Coturnix japonica: one gene and its partners. The protein of the gene in region 1 purifies or fractionates together with the protein of each later gene. This does not show direct contact. Links are inferred from orthologs where the notes say so. Each region holds a gene or a part of one and is shown in the gene's direction. Other genes may lie near its edges. The genes, in order: PRKAR1A, VAPB, VAPA and PLK1.

The links.
Region 2: the proteins of PRKAR1A (region 1) and VAPB purify together in Homo sapiens (affinity purification with mass spectrometry; 3 studies listed by BioGRID and IntAct, counting the BioPlex papers as one, with this or other methods). This does not show direct contact. The link is inferred for Coturnix japonica from reciprocal best matches to the Homo sapiens genes PRKAR1A and VAPB.
Region 3: the proteins of PRKAR1A (region 1) and VAPA purify together in Homo sapiens (affinity purification with mass spectrometry; 3 studies listed by BioGRID and IntAct, with this or other methods). This does not show direct contact. The link is inferred for Coturnix japonica from reciprocal best matches to the Homo sapiens genes PRKAR1A and VAPA.
Region 4: the proteins of PRKAR1A (region 1) and PLK1 purify together in Homo sapiens (affinity purification with mass spectrometry; 4 studies listed by BioGRID and IntAct, with this or other methods). This does not show direct contact. The link is inferred for Coturnix japonica from reciprocal best matches to the Homo sapiens genes PRKAR1A and PLK1.

The regions. Positions count from the first base shown.
Region 1 is NC_029533.1:6,401,199-6,406,734, reverse strand, and holds the start of PRKAR1A (cAMP-dependent protein kinase type I-alpha regulatory subunit), read left to right. Parts: upstream 1-1,645; 5' UTR 1,646-1,766; intron 1,767-2,474; 5' UTR 2,475-2,538; intron 2,539-3,636; 5' UTR 3,637-3,638; coding exon 3,639-3,815; intron 3,816-5,536. UniProt on the Homo sapiens protein: Regulatory subunit of the cAMP-dependent protein kinases involved in cAMP signaling in cells.
Region 2 is NC_029535.1:10,108,679-10,113,678, reverse strand, and holds part of VAPB (vesicle-associated membrane protein-associated protein B/C), read left to right. Parts: intron 1-1,788; coding exon 1,789-1,941; intron 1,942-5,000. UniProt on the Homo sapiens protein: Endoplasmic reticulum (ER)-anchored protein that mediates the formation of contact sites between the ER and endosomes via interaction with FFAT motif-containing proteins such as STARD3 or WDR44.
Region 3 is NC_029517.1:88,647,748-88,653,330, reverse strand, and holds the start of VAPA (vesicle-associated membrane protein-associated protein A), read left to right. Parts: upstream 1-1,773; 5' UTR 1,774-1,905; coding exon 1,906-1,981; intron 1,982-5,583. UniProt on the Homo sapiens protein: Endoplasmic reticulum (ER)-anchored protein that mediates the formation of contact sites between the ER and endosomes via interaction with FFAT motif-containing proteins such as STARD3 or WDR44.
Region 4 is NC_029529.1:6,808,971-6,814,728, forward strand, and holds the start of PLK1 (serine/threonine-protein kinase PLK1), read left to right. Parts: upstream 1-2,068; 5' UTR 2,069-2,250; coding exon 2,251-2,628; intron 2,629-2,827; coding exon 2,828-2,996; intron 2,997-3,088; coding exon 3,089-3,233; intron 3,234-3,434; coding exon 3,435-3,528; intron 3,529-3,827; coding exon 3,828-4,047; intron 4,048-4,357; coding exon 4,358-4,516; intron 4,517-4,733; coding exon 4,734-4,811; intron 4,812-5,275; coding exon 5,276-5,430; intron 5,431-5,758. Other genes in the region: DCTN5 (dynactin subunit 5), read left to right, coding at 98-118. UniProt on the Homo sapiens protein: Serine/threonine-protein kinase that performs several important functions throughout M phase of the cell cycle, including the regulation of centrosome maturation and spindle assembly, the removal of cohesins from chromosome arms, the inactivation of anaphase-promoting complex/cyclosome (APC/C) inhibitors, and the regulation of mitotic exit and cytokinesis.

The DNA.
Region 1 (5,536 bases):
AGGTGGTAGCTGTCCTATGGCATGGATTTTGATCACAGTAATTCCTTGTTCTGTTCTTTTATGACCTGAATTATTTCTCTTTCGTGTGGCAAAGTTACAGATGTTGATACCAGATTTACTTACTCATCCAGAAGCTCAGACTGCATGGCAAACACAGCACATTGGGACCAAGTGCTGCACTTTGGGCTGTGCTTCTTTGGATCCAGCTTGTATATTAAGGATGACACATTTACAACACTTATGTGATTTAACACATAGATCTGGGAGATGGGGTGCCACTGTGGCTTATCTTCTCTTCCTCAGCCTCACTGCCCCACTGTCAGACCGACAAATTTATTGGTCTTTTATGAGACCAAGAATATGTATCCTAATTAATGCAGAATGGAGGTAAACAACATGGTTAGGAATGATGATGTGCCGCTCTCACTCCGTCAGTGAAGGAACTGCAGTGACCTTGCAGAAGGCTGCTGGTTTTAATCATGATAATTGTGCAGCTGACACCCTTGTTATGAAGACGAAGCAGAAGTGGGTGACTGCATGAACCAAAGAGCAAAGGAGCGGTCACACAGCTCCAGGTTCTCCAAGGTACTGGGTAACCAGCTCCTCTAAATTCACAAGGCCTTCAATATCTTTGTATGTTTCAGGCCATGGATTCCCTCACATCCACAATGTCTGTCCTCCAACTCTTGCCTTAAGAGAGCATGGAAAGTGATAGTAACTACTGTTTGAAGCCACATGTAGGTTTGACATAACTACTGACTCCTGTGAATGCCAACCAAGGATGAATGTAGCCTAAGTTTCCCCCATGGTTTGCTGGCTCCATCACTCCCTTAGCAGTCTGGGCAGCTCTTCTCTGCTCTTCAGCAGCCACAGCCTCACACAATTGTCTCATGAGAAACTCTTAATGCATGAAAGTGTGAACTGAAAGCTGTGGGAACAAGCGCTGATGGTAATGCAAGTTATTTACTCCAGAATACTCATTATTTAATTAGACACTTAACACCAGGGTTTCACTGCAATCCAGACCAGACTCAACGGCAAAGCCTTTTGTTTGTCATTCCTTTCTTTTTAACACATGAATACATACAAATCTATGCTTATGAGGAGCATGATTTCACTTTGCAGGGTAGTTCTATGCTCTCACAGCGAAGGATTTACACAAAATTAATGAGAGAAACCTCATGTTAGCACTACAAGGCTCCTTTTAAAGCCTGTTTTGCTCCCTTTATTACACCGCTGCATTGCCATATGAACTCCTGCTCAGCAGAGGGTTGCATCAAGATGAAGCCATACAACAAACTTGTTTTCCTGATGCTGTAGAACAGGTTTTACATACACACACACACACAGAGCTTTGTTCCAGCTGGGACAAGGCACCAAGGCTTGTCCCAACAGCGCTCCATAAGCATTATCGGGCCCTCACCATTCACATTGGGATACATTCAGTGTTTAACAGCTTGCATGGGGTACCCAAACCCAACCCCAGGCCGCCCCATAGTGACACAGACCTCCCCCCCATTAGCAGCGCGTCTTAAAGGCGCAGCATCACTCAACCAACACCGCATCACCGAGCTTACTAAAGAGCGCTGCGGTCCCTTTAAGGTTACCTCGACGACGGCTCCGGGTGAGAGCGAGGCTCATTGACGTCACGCCGCTCTCTGATTGGTCCAACCCGTCCATTTCCGGTGGGAGCCGCCGCCGTTGCTGTCGCTGAGGCCGAGGCGGGGCAGTGGGCGCTGAGGGCCCGAGGAAGGCGGCCGCTCCAGGTGAGCGCTGGGTGCGGCCTGTGAGGAACAACAACCGGGAATGGCCGCTGTGTGGTGGGGCTGAACGGGAAGCTCGAGGCCTTTAGGGTGGGCCTGGCTGCGGGGGAGCAGCGCCGGGGCCGGTACCGGAGCCTGACTGGGCCCCAAGGCTTGTAGGCCCTAAGGTTGTAGGCCTTAAGGCTGTAGGCCCCAGGGCTGTAGGCCTTAATGCTGTAGGCCTTAAGGTTGTAGGCCTCGAGTTGAGAGGCTGCGTTGTGGCCTTGCGGGTTCAGGCAATAGAAACGAAAGCTGCGGGGTGGGGCCTGGGGATGGGGTGGCTATCGGGCTCTATGAGCACCTAAAGGCCGTCCCCTCCCCACTCCCATTGCGGTCCCTGTTTCCCTGGGGTTCATTATTAGCGCTGACCTTCACCACGCTGTTATCAAAGCAAAAGGAGCATTAGGAGAAGGGAAATGCTCCTTTAGTCGTTTCGAGTCTGTACTTAATGTCTATGCGGTGTGTAATGTGTCTGCCCGGGGTTGGCTGTAACATTTGCAGCTCTGTGTTAGCTCTGTGCCTCCTGTAATGCCTGGCAGGACGATTCCATTGGGTACAGTGTTATATCACCTGTTATCTGCTGCCTGTAAAGCACGATGTGGCAGCTCAGTGACATGACATTTCAATATTGCTTCATCTGAATCCTTTTCTTTCTCTCTTCTCTTTCTAAAGCTGATCCTGAGATCAACACTTCTCACTGAACAGTCCTAAGCTGTTGCCGCTGTCTCTGTGCCAGGTAACTTTCTTTATATGTCATCAAAAATACCTTGAGAAATCATTTCCTCTTTCTTTAACTGTCTTATGGGGAAAAAAAACCAAACAACTCAACATTGATTTTATAAACATATACATAAATGAATAAATAAATTAGCATAATTTTATAACGTGAAGTATAAAAAAGAATAGACTTAATGGTATTTTTTTCAAAGTCTTGTGGCTTGCTCTGTGATTTCAAAATCTCTTTAAAGCCTGACAGTGTGATGGGTCTGTTTAAGGGTCCCCTCCTGATAATCCACAGCTGAAGAAATATTTTTGGGGATGGAGGTGTATTCACGGAGGTAGTTATGAAGTGTGGAATGATTTAAACTAAGGAGCTTCTATAAGAGGAATGCTTCTAATTCCCCAGTTGTCATTGATGGGCATTTGTTGAGCTGGCTTTGATTTGACCTTAGCACATCTCACTTCTGGATACCTGTAGTGTTTGTGTCTCAGATTCCTGGTTTCCACCCACCAGTCTCCTGTTCATCACCACCTGACCCCTGGTTTTAACTGGGGTAATGTTAATCTTCACAGTAGCTGATAAGGTGCAATGTTTTGGGTCTGGGAGGAGAGCAGTACTGATAGCACACCAGTGTTACAGCCATTACTGAGCAGTGCTTACACTAAGCAAAGGCTGTTTCAGCTTCTTGCACTGCCAAGCCACTAAGGGGCTGGGATGGGACAGAACCAGAACAGCTGCCCCACCTGGTTGAAATGGTTCTGTACCATGTGTTGTCGTACTCAGCAATAAAACTGGGGGACTCGGCTGGGGGGGGACAGCTGCTGCTTGGGGACAGACTGGGCATCGTACAGCAGGCTGTGAGCAATTGCAGTGTGCATCATTTGTTTTATTTTTTCTTTTTTTTTTGTTTGCTCTGTTCCTCCCCTCCTCATAGTTTCTTCTTTCACACTTTAGCTTTGTTACTGATCTTAGATATGAAGATGACTTTATCCAGTGATGTCAGTCAGATGATAATGCAGCATGATTTTCCTTTAGGCGATATAACGTGTCTGACTATATTGGGCTGCACCATCTTTTCTGCTAGTTCTTTAACTTTCTCTTTCTCATTTTCAGCAATGGCAACTTCCAGCAGCAGCAGCAGTGAGGAGGAACGTAGTCTTCGGGAATGTGAACTTTATGTCCAAAAACACAACATCCAACAGCTTCTGAAGGATTGCATTGTGCAGCTGTGCACCGTGAGACCTGAGCGACCCATGGGATTCCTCAGAGAATACTTTGAAAGATTGGAGAAGGTAAAAATTCCTTTCTGGGAGAGAAGGAGAGTGGAACAGCCAAAATTTGCACTGTTTAACTTGATTTAATGGCTGAGCTTCCAGTTTGGCCCATGTTTGTATTGGCTGTTTGGAACTGGGCCTGATGCTTTTGGAGGATGAATGGTATTTTCTGTAGTTTTTGCTAGTGGCTTGTGGTATGAAAGCACCTCTTGCTTTGTTGTGACAGAAGTAAACTGACAAGGACACTTACCCACCTGGGATTCACGTGTGATCCTAGTCTAGTGTTTGCTCATAGAAACTGATAGATAGGACACGTGATCCTGTCTGTGGTCAGTTGGTAAATGTGCTGTGTGACCCTGGTAGCTGCTGGTGATACACATTTGGTTTCTTCTGTTGAGGCAAATTGATTGCAAAGATTCAGGTATAGAACAGCAGCAGGCCAGTGTGGTAGTTAGCCCGGCCTAGCTGAAATCAAATGAAAGCACTTATTTTCCTGATTTCTAAGAGAACAAGCCTGTTTCTTCATTCTGTTGGGAACTGAGTGTTACTGTTTTGCTTTTTGTTCCTCTCATTTGTCCTGAAGGTCTCTTCAGTGTTCTTGTTGAAAACCTTGTGATCTTTGGAATGAAAAGCGTTTTCATTTCAGTGCTCATATTTGAATCAATTTAACGCTGATTTGAACAGTTAATTGAATATAACTATAGCTTAAGCTGATAGAGAATAATCTGCTATGAAAACATGAGTTTTTAAGGGTGAATGCAGAAGAAAGATTAGCTGTAACCACTGCACTCAGCACAGGTCGTTAGTAATTACTGTAGCTGTGACCTTGTACAGCAGTCATTTGCAGGTGCTGCTTTAGCTTCCCATCTTACGTGGAAACTATATCTTTGTCTTTTTTCAGGCTCCTAATAATCCTTCATCCCCACCTTTTACTGTATCAGCTTTCCCACCTTGTATTCTTGGGTTTCTAGTAGTGATACATTGTAAGGTTTGGTGTATCAATGCTTGTGCTAATGTTGCTTTAAAAACTATCAAAGAAAACTGTTCTTTTGAAGTTAGGAGGTAGAACTTGGAATAAGCGAAGAGTAAGCAAAGCCACGAAGGGACATAAAACAGAAGCATGGCTATATGTGCCAACTCGTGTGGCTGTAGCTGCTGGTGGAACTGTAGCCTTCTTATATTATTGAATATAAACATTGCCATGTCTTTCTTCAAGGTAATTTCATAGTTCAGCCATATGGGTTGGTCTTAGTTTGAGCAGTGTGTTGAACCTTCAGAGCTATCAAGTAACAGAGCTGCGCTGCTGCTATTAACCAGCTCTAACCTGGTACTTAGCTCCAGTGCAGCAGAAATGTTTGAAACCATGTGTTTTCCAAGAGTAACATCTGTTTTATCCTTATGAAAGCAGAGCAACTTTCCCATCTACTTTTAAAATGTTACACTGAATGAAACTGAGGTTGAGGCGGAGTATTTTTTTTAAGCTTTGGTTGAGACTGACTTCTGAAGGAACATCATTTAAAAATGAAGTGTGGGTTCTATTTTCTCTCCTGACAAGTCATCTCTTCCACAGTGCACACAGAGCTGATTCACTGTCATGTTACTCACATACATTGGAGATGTTTAAACTTACCGTTGAATTATTGCTCAGAAACACTCAAATTACTGCCTCTGAAGTAGTTACAATAGGAATTCACGTGTCCTTTTCAGCTATGCAAGCTTTCACTTGAATTTTATCACTA
Region 2 (5,000 bases), on another chromosome or scaffold:
GTGCAGACTAGTAAAGCTCTATTGAGGATGCAGCTGCACATGTAGGGCTGTGTGCAGACGAGCCTCCCTCTGCTGGAATAGCTCACACTGTAATTTGTGTAAATGGACGTTCATAATGTTAAAGCATCGAGTAATTTCTTCTGAAACGTTAGACCCAATTAGGTCTACCTGAAAGATCTGCTGCCATCTTTACATTCCTCAATGTTTCGCTGGATTTTTCTGATAGCTGGGCTTGTTGAATTTCTTTAACAGCTCTTGGCTTCTGCTCAGTTATTTTCCATCAGACCTAGAGAGCCTGCATGCAGAACGCAGACAAAACTTCAACAGCTGTATTTCATTCTTGTTTGCATCTCGGTGTTTCACCAGGTGCAGGTTTGAGTCTTTGTCATTGGATCTGAGCATTTTATTGCTTCTTCTTTGCTGCCAGGTTGCATTGTGAATGCAGAGCTGGCTTGCTCAGAGAGCAGGCAGAAAGGTGCCACAGTGCTGGTGGTGGTTTGGTTTGGTTTGGTTTGGTTTGGTTGATTTGTGTTTTTAGGTGGAGGCTGCAGGACTGCAGTGCTTTGTTGTTTGTGCTCAGTGGCACCTTAAGAGATGAATTGATATGATAAACTTGTAGAAAAGAAAGCTGCCTCAGGTGATTTTAATCCATCCCTGCTGCAACTGAGAACCTGTCTTGTTTTCTCAAGAGAGCAGGGGGGTGACCATGCGTGTATTTATTATTACTATTAATTATAAAAATGATCATTCACAGTTTTTAAACATTAGGGCTGTCCTGTCTTCAAGGAAAAGAATTGATGGGGTTTTTGTTGTTTCGTTTTCTTTTTCAAGTTTACTTCTATTTCTGAGGATAGGTGAAGGTATTTCATTCAGTTAGCAGGTAACTTCTCTTGTGCAGAAGACAGCTGATCAAAGGGGGTTTACAGTGCTGTAATCTTATTTCTCCGTGATCTGAGTGCAGTCACACAACACCTGCCTCATTTATCCGTGTCTTATAGAAAGTCAGTAATGAGCCTTTCCCCCCACCCAGGGGATTCTGATGATTTCAAGTAGGTATTGAAGCCTATGAGAAGTTACTGCTTGTTGTTTCCAAACTTGACAGTGGTCTGATTCTGGCTTTGCTAATACAGAAATCACTGCCAGTGCTGTCAGCATCCAAGAATTCCCCTCTTTGCGTGTGGTTGTTTCCTGTCTCAGTGAGGCTGGGTTTTTTTTATGAAGATCTCTTCTGATGTATCATTTGTTGTAGCCAGAAGGATTCTTTAAAAACAAGCACATGTGATGCACAGTGGACGCTCATCTTGCTGGTTTTGGCACAGCCTTTCTAAATAGCGGGTGGAAGGCTTCATGGAGGTGCAGTTTATGAGCGTAAGGTAAAGCTTACTGACATTTGTAGGTTTTGATATCCTCCCCTGCTCAGTCTGTACATTGGTGTATATGGCTTCTCTGCAAGCCTGGGTGGTTCAGCAGTTAGAATGGAATAACTGATACAACAGAGAATTTGGCTTCATTTGAATAGCACGTTGTTGTGTTGGTAGTGTGTATAAATGATTCCCCCCTTTTTGTTTGCTATTAATGATGAGCTGTTGTGCTGTGAGCATACAGTCATGCTCAGTGGCCTCCCTACATCCTGCGCTTTGCGTGTGTTGTTATCTGTACGTGCCATAGATGGAAGTTGAACATCTAATTACTTTATAAGATTTGTGAGCAGAGATTTGTAACCTGCTTAGCCTCTACTTGTCGAGTGTTTTCTGATGCAATCTAAAGCCTGCTTTTGCTCTTCCTCAGGTCCATTCACAGATGTTGTCACTACAAACCTGAAACTCGGCAACCCTACAGACAGAAATGTGTGCTTCAAAGTTAAGACCACGGCACCACGTAGATACTGTGTAAGGCCTAACAGTGGAATTATTGATGCAGGAACATCAATTAATGTTTCTGGTAAGTCATACAATCAGTTCTTTAGTGACTGAGGATGGCGTCATCAAATGAATTATTTCTTGGAATGTTTTGCAATACAGAAGTACTGTGTGGAATGCTTGTAAAAGCAGGAGGTTACGATTTCATGGAGGAGCAGCCATTTCATATATATATAAATATATCTTCGCTTCTCTTAGTCCTGCTCTAGCAGTAATGGGTTTGTTTTGACATCTTGTTTTGAGGGAGGGAGGAGGAATATATAAATAATTTATATGGTTCCGTAGCAGCCTTAGCCAGCCTATCCAAGGCAGTGCTGCCGCAGCCCTGCCCTCCCAGTGGGATTATTTTGGTCCGGTTGCTTTTTGCCAGCTTAACTTCCTGAACCAGCTCACTGCAGGATCTAACTAACGAGTGCTTGGACAGGCACAGTCCACATGGGTGGACTGCAGCCACGCTGATTCAGGCTGATAGTTGGTTGCCAGACTACCCAATATAACCAACCAGTTAAGAAAACATTTATTTTGAAACCATGCTTGTTTTGTGTTCCTTGGAGATGTAATATGCTTTGGTGCTAGAAACATCAAGTGACTAAAACTGTGCTATTTCATATGAAAGGTTAATGATTTTCTCTAATGAGTCAGTAGTTCTTCACTTGCCAAAGTTTGGTAATGGAAAAAACAAAGGAGCGGGTTACACTGAAAGCATAAAGGAGTGAGTATTTGTGTAATCTAAAGAACTCTCTCAAAGCATTTCACGGTGGCAGGCTGCAGAAATCAGGTCTGGTTTTTGAGGTACAGGAATGATTTCTGAAGATTTGTTTTTACTACTTTAATTAAATTTTAATGCTGTGTAATAGAAGCAGATGGGTTACTGGCCAATGGGAAGATGATCAGAACAGAAGTTATGTATGGCAAAACACATAACCTGTTAATTAGTCTCCTACCAAGCTACAAGTGTGGATAGTGACAGGACAAAGAGAAATGTTTGCTAGCAAGTAACACGCTTTTTAGAACGTCTTCTTGATCTCAACATCTTTTTTTCTTAAACTTCTGCTTACAGCGACCCTTTGCTCTGCCTTGAGCAGAACATGGGATAGGCAAGTGCTGTGTGAACCTGTATCTGAGGTGCTTTTCCAGCCCCATTCTTCCCAGCAGCATCCCAAACAGAAACCAGACCAAGACGTGACCTGCAGTATCCTGTTGTGAAAGATTGCTGTGCTTACCCTGTTATGCTGCTCTTGCTCACAAAGCTTTGAAAAAACTTGCCTTTTATACGTAACTTTTATTGTAGAATTTGTGGCTTATGATTCAGTTTTGCAAATGATTTTGGAATATTTAATCACAGAGCTTACATTTTTTGTTTTACTTACTTACATGATTCTCTTTACTTAGTCATGGTAATAAACTTTGCTAAATTACCAGCCCTTCTATTAACATTATGTATTAAATGCAAGCAGTTCGCATACATTGTCCTTCAGGTGACACATTAAGGTAGATTTATGGGTAGATATGTTGCAGAATTCTGGAGTTACGGATGTTAATTCTTCATTTTCTAACCCATTCTGAATAGAAGCTGCTGTCAGCTCGTTTTGTGGTTGAATTTCTATTGAAACTCTTGAGCTAATTGGGCAGTGTTTACTCCTTGTAGTCTGTTCTCTTGAGAACTGCTGACTGACTTTAACACAGTAGCACTGACAGAGCACCTCCAGCCTGCAAAGAATGGTCGGTGCCAAAGTACAATGATGTGAATTTGTTTCTTGGAGTATTACTGACAGTTGGGTTCAGGGCAGCCTTGTCTTCCTTGCACCATAGCAGCTGAGTGCCTTTCTTACATGCAGTTCCACAGGCGTGTCCTATTTTGGTTGAAGTTCACGAGAAGGTGTTCTGTCCTTAGAGGCTGCTCTCAGAACATTATTTCATGCCAGGTCTTGGCTCGTTTCGCACACATAAAATGCTAGAAAAGCAAAGCTTTCTTTATTCTACTGCAGTGTTGGATACTGGCTTCTTTTGCCCTATCACAGCTGCTCCTAAATACCAGCATTTAAGTCTCAGTTAGCATGCACTGCTTGCTGCAAAGTCAGGTTTGTAGCCCATGTTTTCACCTGTTATATAATGGTGTGTAATTTTAACAGCTGAGTTTATGTAACTGTCAGGAAGTGTATGTGTGCTGTCACCCTGTTTGATTGCGTTTGGTTGTAAGTACTTGGCAAAGAAGGCTGTTTGCACCCATTCTGTTTTTGTTACACGTGTCTTATTTGAACAAAGACAGCTGATTTTGTGGCTTCCGAGAGGTTGAAATCTAAATAAAAGATACAAATGAATTCCAGATGAAGAGTGAGAAACTAGAAGCAGGTGCTGATGTCTGCAGCTAGGTGTACAACGGAGAGATGAAGGGTGCATGGTGTGCCCTGCTGCACAGAGCAGCCCAAGCAGACTCCTGGGCATGGGGAGAGCTGACGTTATCCTTGTGTTGTCAGGTACCCTGATCTTTTGTGCAGTTACCTCACTAGGAAGAGGTGGGTTGTGTTTCCTTCAGGTCAGGGCTGCCCACAGCAGTTCTGCCCCTTCTCAGCCACCAGCCATATGCTGCTCCCCTGGGCCTCATTGGCCAACATGGCAAGTGCTGAGCATGGACTGCGGTGGATGTATGGCTTCCAAATGATAATAGAAATTGCTAGTGATGTTTGGTATTAGTCTTGTTAAATGCTTTTGTAAGCAGTTCTGGCTCAAAGACAGCACACTAAAAACCCTTACGATGATGTAAAATTCAAAGGCTGAAGACATGCAGCAAGAACTGAGTGTCCTTGGAGGCTTCAGTAAGAGAAACAGGATGAGTTTTGTCATAAAAACTGCAGAATCATGTACTTGGATTTCTTCTTCTATAATTGCAAGCTTTCTGAACAAAGTGGGTGATGTTAGGATATTGTAACTGATCAGTGATGACCAAGTTGCTGACATCATGTGGCTGTGAATAGGGCAAATGCAGTGTGTGCAAACAAACTAGGCAGTGGAAAAGATAAGAGTGTGAATGTTGTCATTAATAAAATTTCATGGTTGTATACATAGAGTAACTCATACAGA
Region 3 (5,583 bases), on another chromosome or scaffold:
AGAAGACAAATTGCAGCACCAAGAGGCCAGGTATTTCCTTAAAGAGAAATAAAAACAGACCTTCAGCTTTACTTTGCAATATTCATTGACTTGGCAGTACAGGATACGTATGTTACTTCAGTGAGCGAGACTGAGGTTTTTCCATTAACATGACAAGTAACGTGGCACTTGGTTGCTTTTTCTGACAATCTTAATAACACCAAGGAATTGCAAAGCAAGCCATGATATTGTTTTATTGCAAGACACTTTCAAGTTCAGAGTTGGCGGAACCGAATAAACTACCTGAATAATAAACAGTGGAAAAGAGTATTATGAAACTGAGCCTACATTGATACTTCTCAGGCATAAAGAAAACTCATTTAATATTTAATAGCAAACAGCTCTGAAAAATGTCAGGCAGTCTCCAAACTGAGATACTATAACAACAATGATGCTGAATTCACAATGTGAATAAACATGAAGATCTACAAGCACACAGGACAAATGTTAAACTCACGTTAAGCAAATGTTAGCTGCCTGCAAGCAGTGATACAGATACTAGAGACACCTCCGGAATGACATACTAGGAGAGTGGTTAGGCCCTGGAACAGGCTGCCCAGGGAGGTTGTGGATGCCCCGTCCTTGGAGGTGTTCAAGGCCAGGTTGGACGGGGCCCTGGGCAACCTGATCTAGTAAATGTGTATGTTTGGTGGCCCTGCCAGGCAGGGGGGTTGGAACTACATGATCCTTGAGGTCCCTTCCAACCCGGGTCATTCTGTGATTCTGTGAATGACATCTCACTGCAATTGGTGAGAGGTTTTGCTACTGACTGCAACAGAGTCAAGACAGCCTATTTAAAAAGAGAAAGGAGAGAACCTCTGGAGGTATTTAGAGTTTTGCAGCAGCTCCTCGTATCTCACAGAATCACAGAATTGTAGGGGTTGGAAGGGACCTCTAGAGATCATGGAGTCCAACCCCCCTGCCAAAGCAGGTTCCCTACACCACGAAATTCTTTGAGAAAAAAAACTCAGAAATTCTTCAGGTATATAACTACCACATAATTCCGGGGCTGAATTATTGCTTCAGAGAAACACTGTGGAGTAATCTTTGGTGAGTCCACGAGAGAAGAAATTCCATCACCCACACTCCGATCTTGCATGAACTCACCCAGGCCTTTCACTTTTCACCCACTCTTACCCTCTCTCCGGCAGCTTCAATGACACCACACTGAGACGCCAGGCAGAGCACGACGCCACATCACCACACACCACCCCAACCTGGACTACAGAGCCCACCAGGCACCGAGAAACACTACAACCCCCAGCGGCGCATGCGTGTGCCCCGGTGGCGCAGTGGTAGCAATGCCGCGTTGCAACACTGGAGGCCCTGGGTTCGAATCCCCCCTGTGGCGCAAGTGGTAGAAGTGCCGCTCTGCTACACAGGGCTCGAATCCCGGGGGTTGGACTCAATGATCTCTCAGGTCCCTTCCAACCCGCACAACACTGTGATACTGTGTGATGCGCAGCGCTCCCACAGCCCGTTCCCGGAGCGTGGATCCGCTCCTTCCCGCTCGGCTCCGTCGCAGGGCTCCCGTCAGGGCCGGCGACCGGCGGTGGGGGAGCGAGCGAGCAAAGCGGGAGGGCGCATGCGCACAGCAGGCCCGGTCACTGCCGCCTCCGCCCTCGTGCCCGCGGAGTGGCGGCGTTGCCGGGGGCCGCCGGTGCGACGTGGGGAGCGAGCGGTGAGCAGCGAGCAGCGCCGGGCTAAAGAGCGGCTGCACCCGCCGCAAGGCGTAGGGAAAAGCGCTACCGCCGCCCGGGCTCCCCGTCCCGCCCCTCGTTCTCTTCCTCCTCCTCCTTCTCCTCCTCCTCCCCCTCCTCCTCCCACCCTCCCCCTCTCCTCCTCCCGCCGTAGCGAACGAGCGAGATGGCGGCCGCCGGGGCTCTGGCGAAGCACGAGCAGATTCTGGTGCTCGATCCGCCCACCGACCTTAAATTCAAAGGTGAGGGGCAGCGGGGCGCCGGGCGGCCGGGGCGGGGGGTGTCCCGCTTCCCTCGGCCGTCGCGAGGAGCCTCACCCCGTTCCGCGGGGCCGGGCCCTGCCCGCTCGGGTCCCTCGAGGAGGCCGCCGGCGCCGGGGTGGGGGGGTGCCGCCGAGGCGGGGAGCGGGCTCGGCCGCCGCCATCTTGCGATCCCGCGGCGGCTCCGGCGTGTCCGCGGCCCCGGCAGCGCCGCGGCCCGGCCCCCGGCGGGCACCGCGCCCGGTCTGCCCGCACAGCGGCTCCGGCCGCCCCCTGCCATGAGTGCCTACACGGGCGGCTCTGCTGTCAGCTCCGCCGGCGCTGAACGCTGCAGGTAGGGGCGGGAGGGAGGTCCCCGGGCTGAGGTGTTTTCGGGCATGTCACGTTTGTCGGGTGCGCCGCTGTCGGAAGGGGCTGCGGTCGGCGCTATTGGTGTATGGGGTGTTATCCCCTCCTCACCAATCACTCCATTCCCACAGCTATCCCAGCTGTGGCTCCTGCAGAGTGATTCTGGAAAGGTGTGTGTTAAAAAGAGCCAAACGCAACGGCAAAGCAAACGTGCTAGAATGAGATGTTGCTCATATGCTTAGCTTACATCTTTTGTAGCTGGTGTCAACACTCGTACTTGCATAATCCCGTAAGTGTTGGTGTTTGGTTTTTATTAGGCTCGTTTTTCATTGTTTAAGGGGCAATCGAGCATCCTGCCCTGTCAATTTAGAGAGCTGAACAAGCAGAGCAGGTTGATGTTCATATCAAAGACAAACACTATTTCCCCCAGATACTTTTGTCTGGTCCTGGCAATAAGACTGAAGTCTGCTTCATCAAAGGGGCTTTTCACAAGCTTTACCTGTTTTGGAGAGCCATCAAATCACTTAAAACAGAAAAAAAGGAAGAATTCTGTCGTGTCACGCATCTTAACTTCCTAATAGCTGCAGTTTTGAAATTGCACATCCAAAGGTACAACCAAAACCACAGTGGGAGCTTATGTATTATGTTAGAATATCTGCACCTGGGTTTCAATGCGCTGCACTCTTGCAGGAGCAGGTTGAAGCTCCTGCATCTTGTGTTGTCTTCAAGCTGGAAGCAAACCGTGTTTTTGTGTGGTTTGAAACGGTGTTGGTGACAGTGAATACAGCGAGTACTAGACGTAGAAATTGTCAGGATGAAGCTATTGTCAGACAGTGATCGGTGCTGTCATGTGTTTACAAAACACGTTTATTAGGCACGAAGTTTGGTTTCATGCTCATGCACATGGTAGGAAAATGTTGAGCAGATTGAGCGAACCTGAAGTCTGAAGTGTAATGGAACTGCAGTGGGACACCATGGCAAGTGCTCTCTAATACTGTATTATTACTGTAATACGCTACAGCAACACCTACCTATTTAAAGAGCAGCTGGTGCTTTCACAGAATCACAGAATTGTAGGGGTTGGAAGGGACCTCAAGAGATCATCAAGTCCAACCCCCCTGCCAAAGCAGGCTCCCTACACCACCTCACACAGGTAAATATTTTCCACCTGCTTATTGTTCTGAGGTCTTCAGAAAGGTCTGTGGGCCACAGGTAGTCATACAATTCTGAAGTGTTGAATGGAAGAGTTCACTATTGGCTGAAGAGAACAGCAAGTATTATCTTTTGAAACATAATTGGTTACTAAGAGAGTGCATGACTCAGAGTTTCTCAGCGTAACTTCGATGTAGGAAAATCATATGATCTCTTTTTTTTTTTTCAGTGTAGTTGGTTATTCAGAATTGTTTACTGGGATGGTTGTCCAATATTGGTATTATCGTCCTAATACTGTTGATGTCCGGCCATCAGAACAGAACAAATAGCTCCATAGGTTTTCTTGCCTCATTCAGTGACTTGTAGAGAATTTGCCGACCTTTAGGGTAGCAGTGAAATGTGTTAAAGTGCCCTTTTGCAAACAAGGACTTAAATTAAAGGGTTGGTAGAACTTATGTGAGGAACACTTGACAGCACTTAAAATTCATCAGCACTGTCTGATGAAGCTGTTGTTGGCTCATAGAGAAACTACGTGCTGAATTTGATTCCGCACCTTTCAAAAGGAGCCTATAAACTTGTCTCATCGTGGTTAACACGCTGTGTTTGCTTTGGTGTCAGAAAGATTAGAATCCCATTCTTGTAGTACCTGGCATTCCTAGGAATCCACTGATAGCGCGTTGGTGTTGGGCGATTCCCTCTGCTGCTGTGATAGCTGCGTTTCTTTGGGTTGTGGGGCCATCAGGGATGCCTAAGGGGAACCACGAGGCAAATGTATTTTGGAGCGTTGTGCAAATGTGTCAAGAGGAACAGAATTGTCTGTAGGTCTCGTTTAAGGAAGATTATCATCATTTGGAACTGGTTCCTTGTGAGTAAATACCTTGGTTTTTTTAGATCTATTTTAGCTGCTGAACAGTCATGTAGTGGAATGACGACGCTTGAAGTTTTCAAGTCCAAACTTTCTAGTTTTGTGATGGAAACTCAGCTGGTCTTCCTGAAATCAAAAGAGACAGTGATGTAATTGCAAGTTAACTCACATTTAGGTTGTTCTTAGAAAATGGTTCTTTTAAGAAAAAACATACTCCAGATTTTTACCCCAGACATAAGACCTGCTTTTGCGACATAGAATCATAGAATTAGCCTGGTTGGAAAAGACCTTGAAGATCATCAAGTCCAACCGCAGCCTAACCAGAACCCTAACTCTAACAACCCTACACTAAATCATATCCCTGAGCACCACATCCAAACGGCTCTTAAACACAACCAGGGATGTCAATTCAACCACCTCCCTGGGGAGCCTATTCCAGTACCTAACTACCCTTTCTGTAACGAAGTGTTTCCTAACATCCAACCTAAACTTGCCCTGGTGCAACTTGAGGCCATTTCCCTTCATCTTGTCACTTGTCACCAGTGAGAAGAGACTTTCCCCACTCTCACTGTAAGCACCTTTCAGATACTGGAAGAGGGCGATAAGGTCTCCCCTCAGCCTCCTCTTCACCAGACTAAACAGCCCCAGCTTCCTCAGCCTCTCCTCATAGGGTTGATTCTCCAAGCCCTTCACAAGCCTCACTGCCCTTCTCTGGACCTGCTCCAGTACCTCCATGTCTTTCCTGTGCTGAGGTGCCCAAAACTGAACACAGTACTCGAGGTGAGGCCTCTAACATGTAGTTGAAAATCAAGACTTGCTGTTTTGATGAGCCTTGGAAGATCAGCAGGCAGTATTCAGAGCTTTGTATTTCGTGTGCTTCAGAGATGCCTGATGAGCAGTTCTGTCAGATGCTATAAGGATGTATGAATAGTCTATGTAGACATCCTTTATGGAAGTTGTTGCTTGCAAGCATGTGAAATCCAGCTATGCCACCTTTGTAAATGTCTCAAAAGAGAGACAAACATTTCCATTTCTTCTTGTTTTATCGAGGCCAGAAATAAATTGGCAAGTAAGCAGCCTAAAATCAACTTCTGTGAATGTCACCACGCACTAAAATACTCACTTCTGTGGTTTGAGTTACTGGAAGAGATCTGTATGATGCTTAATTTCCCATTACTAATCTGATTCATACTCTAGGATCGTTAGCGTATTAAAATTG
Region 4 (5,758 bases), on another chromosome or scaffold:
CACAGAGCATCACATATTTCTCAATCTATTCTTCTTTCCAGCAGGCTGACCCAACCCTTCTGCTTTAATTGAAACCTGTTTTATTGTCTCTGTTAAGGTGGCCTCTGCCAGGGTTTAAAAAGTCACCACTGAAGATCTCAAATGCTCAGCACTGTTAACATTCCTTACACCTGGTTACTTTATCCTGTCCTCTGAAGCATCACTGACCTGGGCTCACCTCCACACCTGTGCCAGCTCTCTGCCACGATGCACCCAGCTGGCCTGTAGCCATTGACACAACTGCAGTACCCAAGGTTCCAGCAAATAGCAAAGCACAGAATATGTTGGCCAGCCAGGGCCATCAACTCTGTCCTAAAAGAAACAGCTTTCCTTATTGGGAAAGGGAAGCTACAACAGAACTGTCCTCATTTGACTTTCAGCAGGGTGGAGCCGTGCATGCCTGAAGGGAGAAGGCATGAGAAGCTCACGGCCAGAGCTGCCCCAGATGGTTTTTGCTCTGTTCATGGCTGTTTTCCTTTGGTGTTCTATTCTGCTCCAGAATGATCACATTAGGGGATGAGAATGTAAAGTTACTTTTCTCACCAAATGATGTTAGGCTGCAGTGAACTCTCCAGCCTTAGTGCATGCGGTTTGTTGCTGACGTTCTCTTTACCAGCTCGTGTTCCACGTTATGGCTGGTGAGGGAAAAGAATCATCAAGGAGGCTGGGTACAATCACATCCACCTGGTGATATGGCACCTTGGTGGCAGAGGGGGGAAGAAACTGAAGAATATGCCAACAAAAATGGGTGGATTCTGCACAATAAAGAAGTGTCACATTCTTGGGTCAGTGTGGAAATGTATTTTATAAGCCAAACGTTGTCACGTGGAAGCATCACAACAGGCTGTGTGGAAAAACACATCGAGCATGAATTCCCTGCACATAGTGAAGTGTGGCAGTGTGAAAAGCTGCTCACAGCCCACAGGGAGAGGGAGGAGATGGATAAATCCCATTGCGTGATCCCTGCAGCAGCTTCAGCCCCGCACTGAGCGGGGACACCCACAGCTTCATCAGTGCTCAGAGCCCCATCCAGCCTGACCATGGGTGTCTGCAGGCACCACCACCTTTCCGTGCACCCTGTGCCATTCCTCACCCCCCTCTCTGCAAACAGCTTCTTTACATCCAATTGAAGTTTACATCCCTTTTAAAACCGTTTCCCCTTGTCCTGACGCACAGACCCACCTTTCTTATAGCTCCCCTTCAGCTCGCTCTCCTGTCGCCCCGGAGGGCTGGCAGTGTCCATTAGTTCTCCCGTGTAGGAATCACCCCGCTGCCAGTTCCTGCCCCAGCCGTGCCAATAACCCACTGCGGTGCCGATAACCCACTGCAATGCCAATAACCCACTGCAATGCCAATAACCCACTGGGTGCCAATAACCCACTGCAATGCCAATAACCCACTGCAGTGCCAATAACCCACTGCGGTGCCAATAACCCACTGCAATGCCAATAACCCACTGCGGTGCCAATAACCCACTGCAATGCCAACAACCCACTGCAATGCCAATAACCACTGCAATGCCACAATTAACCCACTGCAATGCCAATAAACCACTGCAATGCCAATAAACCCACTGCGAATGTCAATAACCCAACTGCAGTGCCCAATAACCATGCGGTGCCAATAACCCACTCGGTGCCATATAACCCACTGCAAATGGCCATAACCCAGCTGGGTGCCAATAACCCACTGCAATGCAATAAACCCACTGCAGTGCAATAACCCACTGGTGCCAATAACCCATGCAATTGCCAATAACCCACTGGGTGCCAATCAACCCACTGCAATGCCCATAACCACTGGGTGCCCAATAACCCACTGCAATGCCAATAACCCACTGCAGTGCCAATAACCCACTGGTTGCCATATACCCCACTGCGTTTGCCCATACCCGCCGCGCCGCTCGCTCCTCCCGCCCGCTGGGTGGCGCTGTGCTCCGTCCCCGCCGGTTCCTGTCTCTTTAAGCCGGGCTGTGTCGCTCCGCTCCCATGTTGCTCCGCGGCGGGCGGCGTGGATTTTAAATCCTCCGGACCAATGAGGAGCCGCCGCGGGCGCGTAACGCTCGGGGGCCGCGTTTGAATCGGTCTGAGCGCCGCACATAGAGACACAGCGACACAGCGCGTCCCGCACGGCTCCGCTTCGGGGTTCGGATCCGGTTCGGTTCCGCCTCATTCGGCTTTGACTGCAGTTCTCAGCTCGGACAGCGGCACCATGAACGCGGCGGGCGGCAAAGCCCGACCGGTGGCTGCGGTGGAACCGGCCCGATCGGGTGGAGCGACGGCGGCTGCGGGTAAAGAGGTTCCGAAGGTTCTGCTGGACCCGCGGACCAGGCGCAGTTACGTGCGGGGCCGGTTCCTGGGCAAGGGCGGCTTCGCTCGGTGCTACGAACTGACCGAGAACGAGAGCAGGGAGGTGTTCGCTGGGAAAGTGGTGCCCAAATCGCTGCTGGCCAAACCGCACCAGAAGGAGAAAATGTCGATGGAGATCGCCATCCACCGCAGCCTGGCGCACCAGCACGTCGTGGGCTTCCAGGGGTTCTTCGAGGACAGCGATTTCGTCTACGTGGTGCTGGAGCTGTGCCGCCGCAGGGTGAGGGCGGGGGGTGCGGGTGGGGGCTGAGCGGGATGGGAGCTGGGTGACCAACACCCCGACCAACACCCCATCACCGTGACCAACACCCCCATCCCTATGTGCTCTTATCCCCGAGTGTTCTTATCCCTATGTGCTCTTATCCCCGTGTGTTCTTATCCCTATGTGCTCTTATCCCCGTGTGTTCTTATCCCCGCAGTCACTGCTGGAGCTGCACAAGCGGCGGAAGGCGCTGAGCGAGCCCGAGGTGCGTTATTACCTGCGGCAAACCATCCTGGGCTGCCAGTACCTGCACAGCCAGCGCGTCATCCACCGAGACCTCAAGCTGGGAAACCTCTTCCTTAGCGATGACATGGAGGTGAAGATCGGTAGGTGTCGGGGTGCGGTGCCTGCAGGACCCCCATGGCTGTCCCACCCCACCTGGGTTCTCTCATTGCTCCCATCTCTGTGTCTCCCCAAGGTGACTTTGGCTTGGCCACCAAAGTGGAGTATGATGGTGAGCGCAAGAAGACCCTGTGTGGGACCCCCAACTACATCGCCCCAGAGGTGCTGGGCAAGAAGGGGCACAGCTTTGAAGTGGATGTGTGGTCCATTGGCTGCATCATGTGAGTCAAAGTGTCTCCTGCAGGGCTGTGAGGTCCCTGTGCCCCACATCCTGTTGGCCCCTGTGAGGTTCTGGTGTATCCTGCAGCTATGGATGTGCTGTATCCAGCACACTGCCATGGCTGCTGGCACCTGACCTCCCTGGTGCTCTGGGGGAGGGAGGGGAATAAATCTAACACACTTCCATGTCTACAAACACACAGGTATACTCTGCTGGTGGGGAAACCACCTTTTGAAACCTCTTGTCTCAAAGAAACATACCTCCGAATCAAGAAGAATGAGTATACTATTCCCAAGGTAAAGTACTTCTCATGGGTGGGTCTATTCATCTTGCAGCCGTTCTTGTACCATCCCATTTCTGGCACTCAGTGGGCTCTCACATAATAGTGAAGCAGCTATTATCACAGTGAGATGGGAAGGGGCTGTATCAATCAGTGGCAGAGTGAACCTGTATGGTTCTGTCTCCCAGGCTTATGTCCTGCTTGCCTGACCCAGAGCTGTGCTCTGAGCAGAACCTGTTGTATTATACAGAGCAGATGCCACTAATGTGTGCTTGTCCTTCTGCTTGACTCACAACTCTGCCTGTCTCCTCCTAGCACATCAACCCTGTAGCTGCTAACCTCATTCAGAAGATGCTGAGATCTGACCCTGCCACGCGCCCAACTATCAATGAGTTGCTGAACGATGAGTTCTTCACATCAGGGTACATCCCCAGCCGCCTGCCCACCAGCTGTCTCACTGTTGCACCTCGGTTTTCAATCGCTCCCAGCACACTTGAACTGAATGGGCGAAAGCCACTGACGGCACTCAACAAAGGTAAGAGGAGGCGTCTGGAAGTGAGGGCTGAGGACTGCAGCACTGGATGAGTGCCTGCCTGGCCTCTAGCAACACACAGACCCATCTGTGGGGAATATAGTGCTGCCTCACCTACTCTCCCAGTTCTCATGATAACTAGAACATATCGTGTCTGGGAGTTCTCCTTGTTCTTTGTCCAGAACCAAAGCAGGGAGCAGTTCAGCTATGAGGTGCATAATGTGTTTCTTATAACTAGGGTAGCATGTAAATTGGTGCTTTTAGAAACTTGCTGCTCATGTTTCTGCAATCTTCTCTTTTTTTTCTGGCCCAGGACCAGAAAGCCCTGCATTAGAAAACCTGCCTGAAAAGGAAGATGCAGCTGGGCTGCGGGAGGTGGGAGACAGCATTGAGTGTCACTTAGCAGACATGTTACAGCAGCTGACTGCAGTCAACTCAGCCAAACCCTCTGAGAGAACTGCAGTGAGACAAGGTGAGTCTGGGGACAATCCCACAGGCACTGACATTTTTGGACAACTTGCTTCTGTCATTGATGCCTCTTGGCTGAACTGAGGGACCAACTGACCTCAGCTTCAACCTGAAAGGCAGAAAAGCAATGTGGAAGCTACTTACCTTCCTCTTGGCCTTGCTTGCTGTGCTGCACAGCATGCCTTAAAATGTCTTCTAACAAACTCCTTTTCTCCTTGCAGAAGAAGCTGAAGACCCAGCCTGTATTCCCATCTTTTGGGTTAGCAAATGGGTGGACTACTCGGATAAGTATGGTCTAGGTAAATAACATGATGGCAGTACTTCAGCCTTTTCTAGCTCCTAAAGCAGCTGGTAGAAGTCCTGATCTGTGCTCAGTGTAGATTTAGTTCTTAAATCATGATCAGTGTTTGCATTCAAGAGTATCACCGGGAGCACCATCAAACACTAAGTGAACACAGAGTAATGGCCACTGAATATCTACCCTGGCCACATTAAGGATGCAGGCAGCAGGACCCTGTGGATCCAAAGTGGCTAATGTGTGTACTCAGTGTAGGAGTTGAAGTTGCTTATGCAGCAGATAATGCAGCAAAGGAGGGTGACAAACCCAGAGGAGAAAAAAGTGCCATCTCGACCTCTGTTAAAAGGAGGATCTTTAAAATTGATGAGGTGGCCTCCAGGGATCCCCTAGATGATCCAGCTCTGTATTTCATGTAACCAAGGGTCCCATGTGTGTGAAGGTCTGACAGGCTTTTTTTTCAACCAGGTTATCAATTATGTGACAACAGTGTTGGAGTTCTCTTCAATGACTCCACTCGTCTCATTATGTACAATGATGGGGACAGCTTGCAGTACATTGAGCAAAACAACACCGAGTCCTACTTCACTGTGAGATCCTGCCCCTCTGCCTTGAATAAGAAGGTCAGTCCAGAGGACAGGAGCCCTTGGTGGTGGGTGGCTGTTCCTGATGAGATTTCTGCAGGTCTCGTTGAGCTTTGCTATCAGGGTGGACAGTGGGGGGGGGGAAACATCTGTTACTGGGAGTCGCATTCAGCAGGATTCCTCTTGGCTGGTAAAATGTGACCCAAAAGAGAGTTCCTGGCAGCATCTTGCTTTTTTCTAGTTGCTAACTGAAGCTCATTTCTGAGCAGCTTCACATAAATAAACTCTCATGAAGCTGACATGTGCTGAAGCATTCAGCAAAATGAGTCTTGTACTCAGACAGTGAAGTTAACTCTGGTGGTGCTTG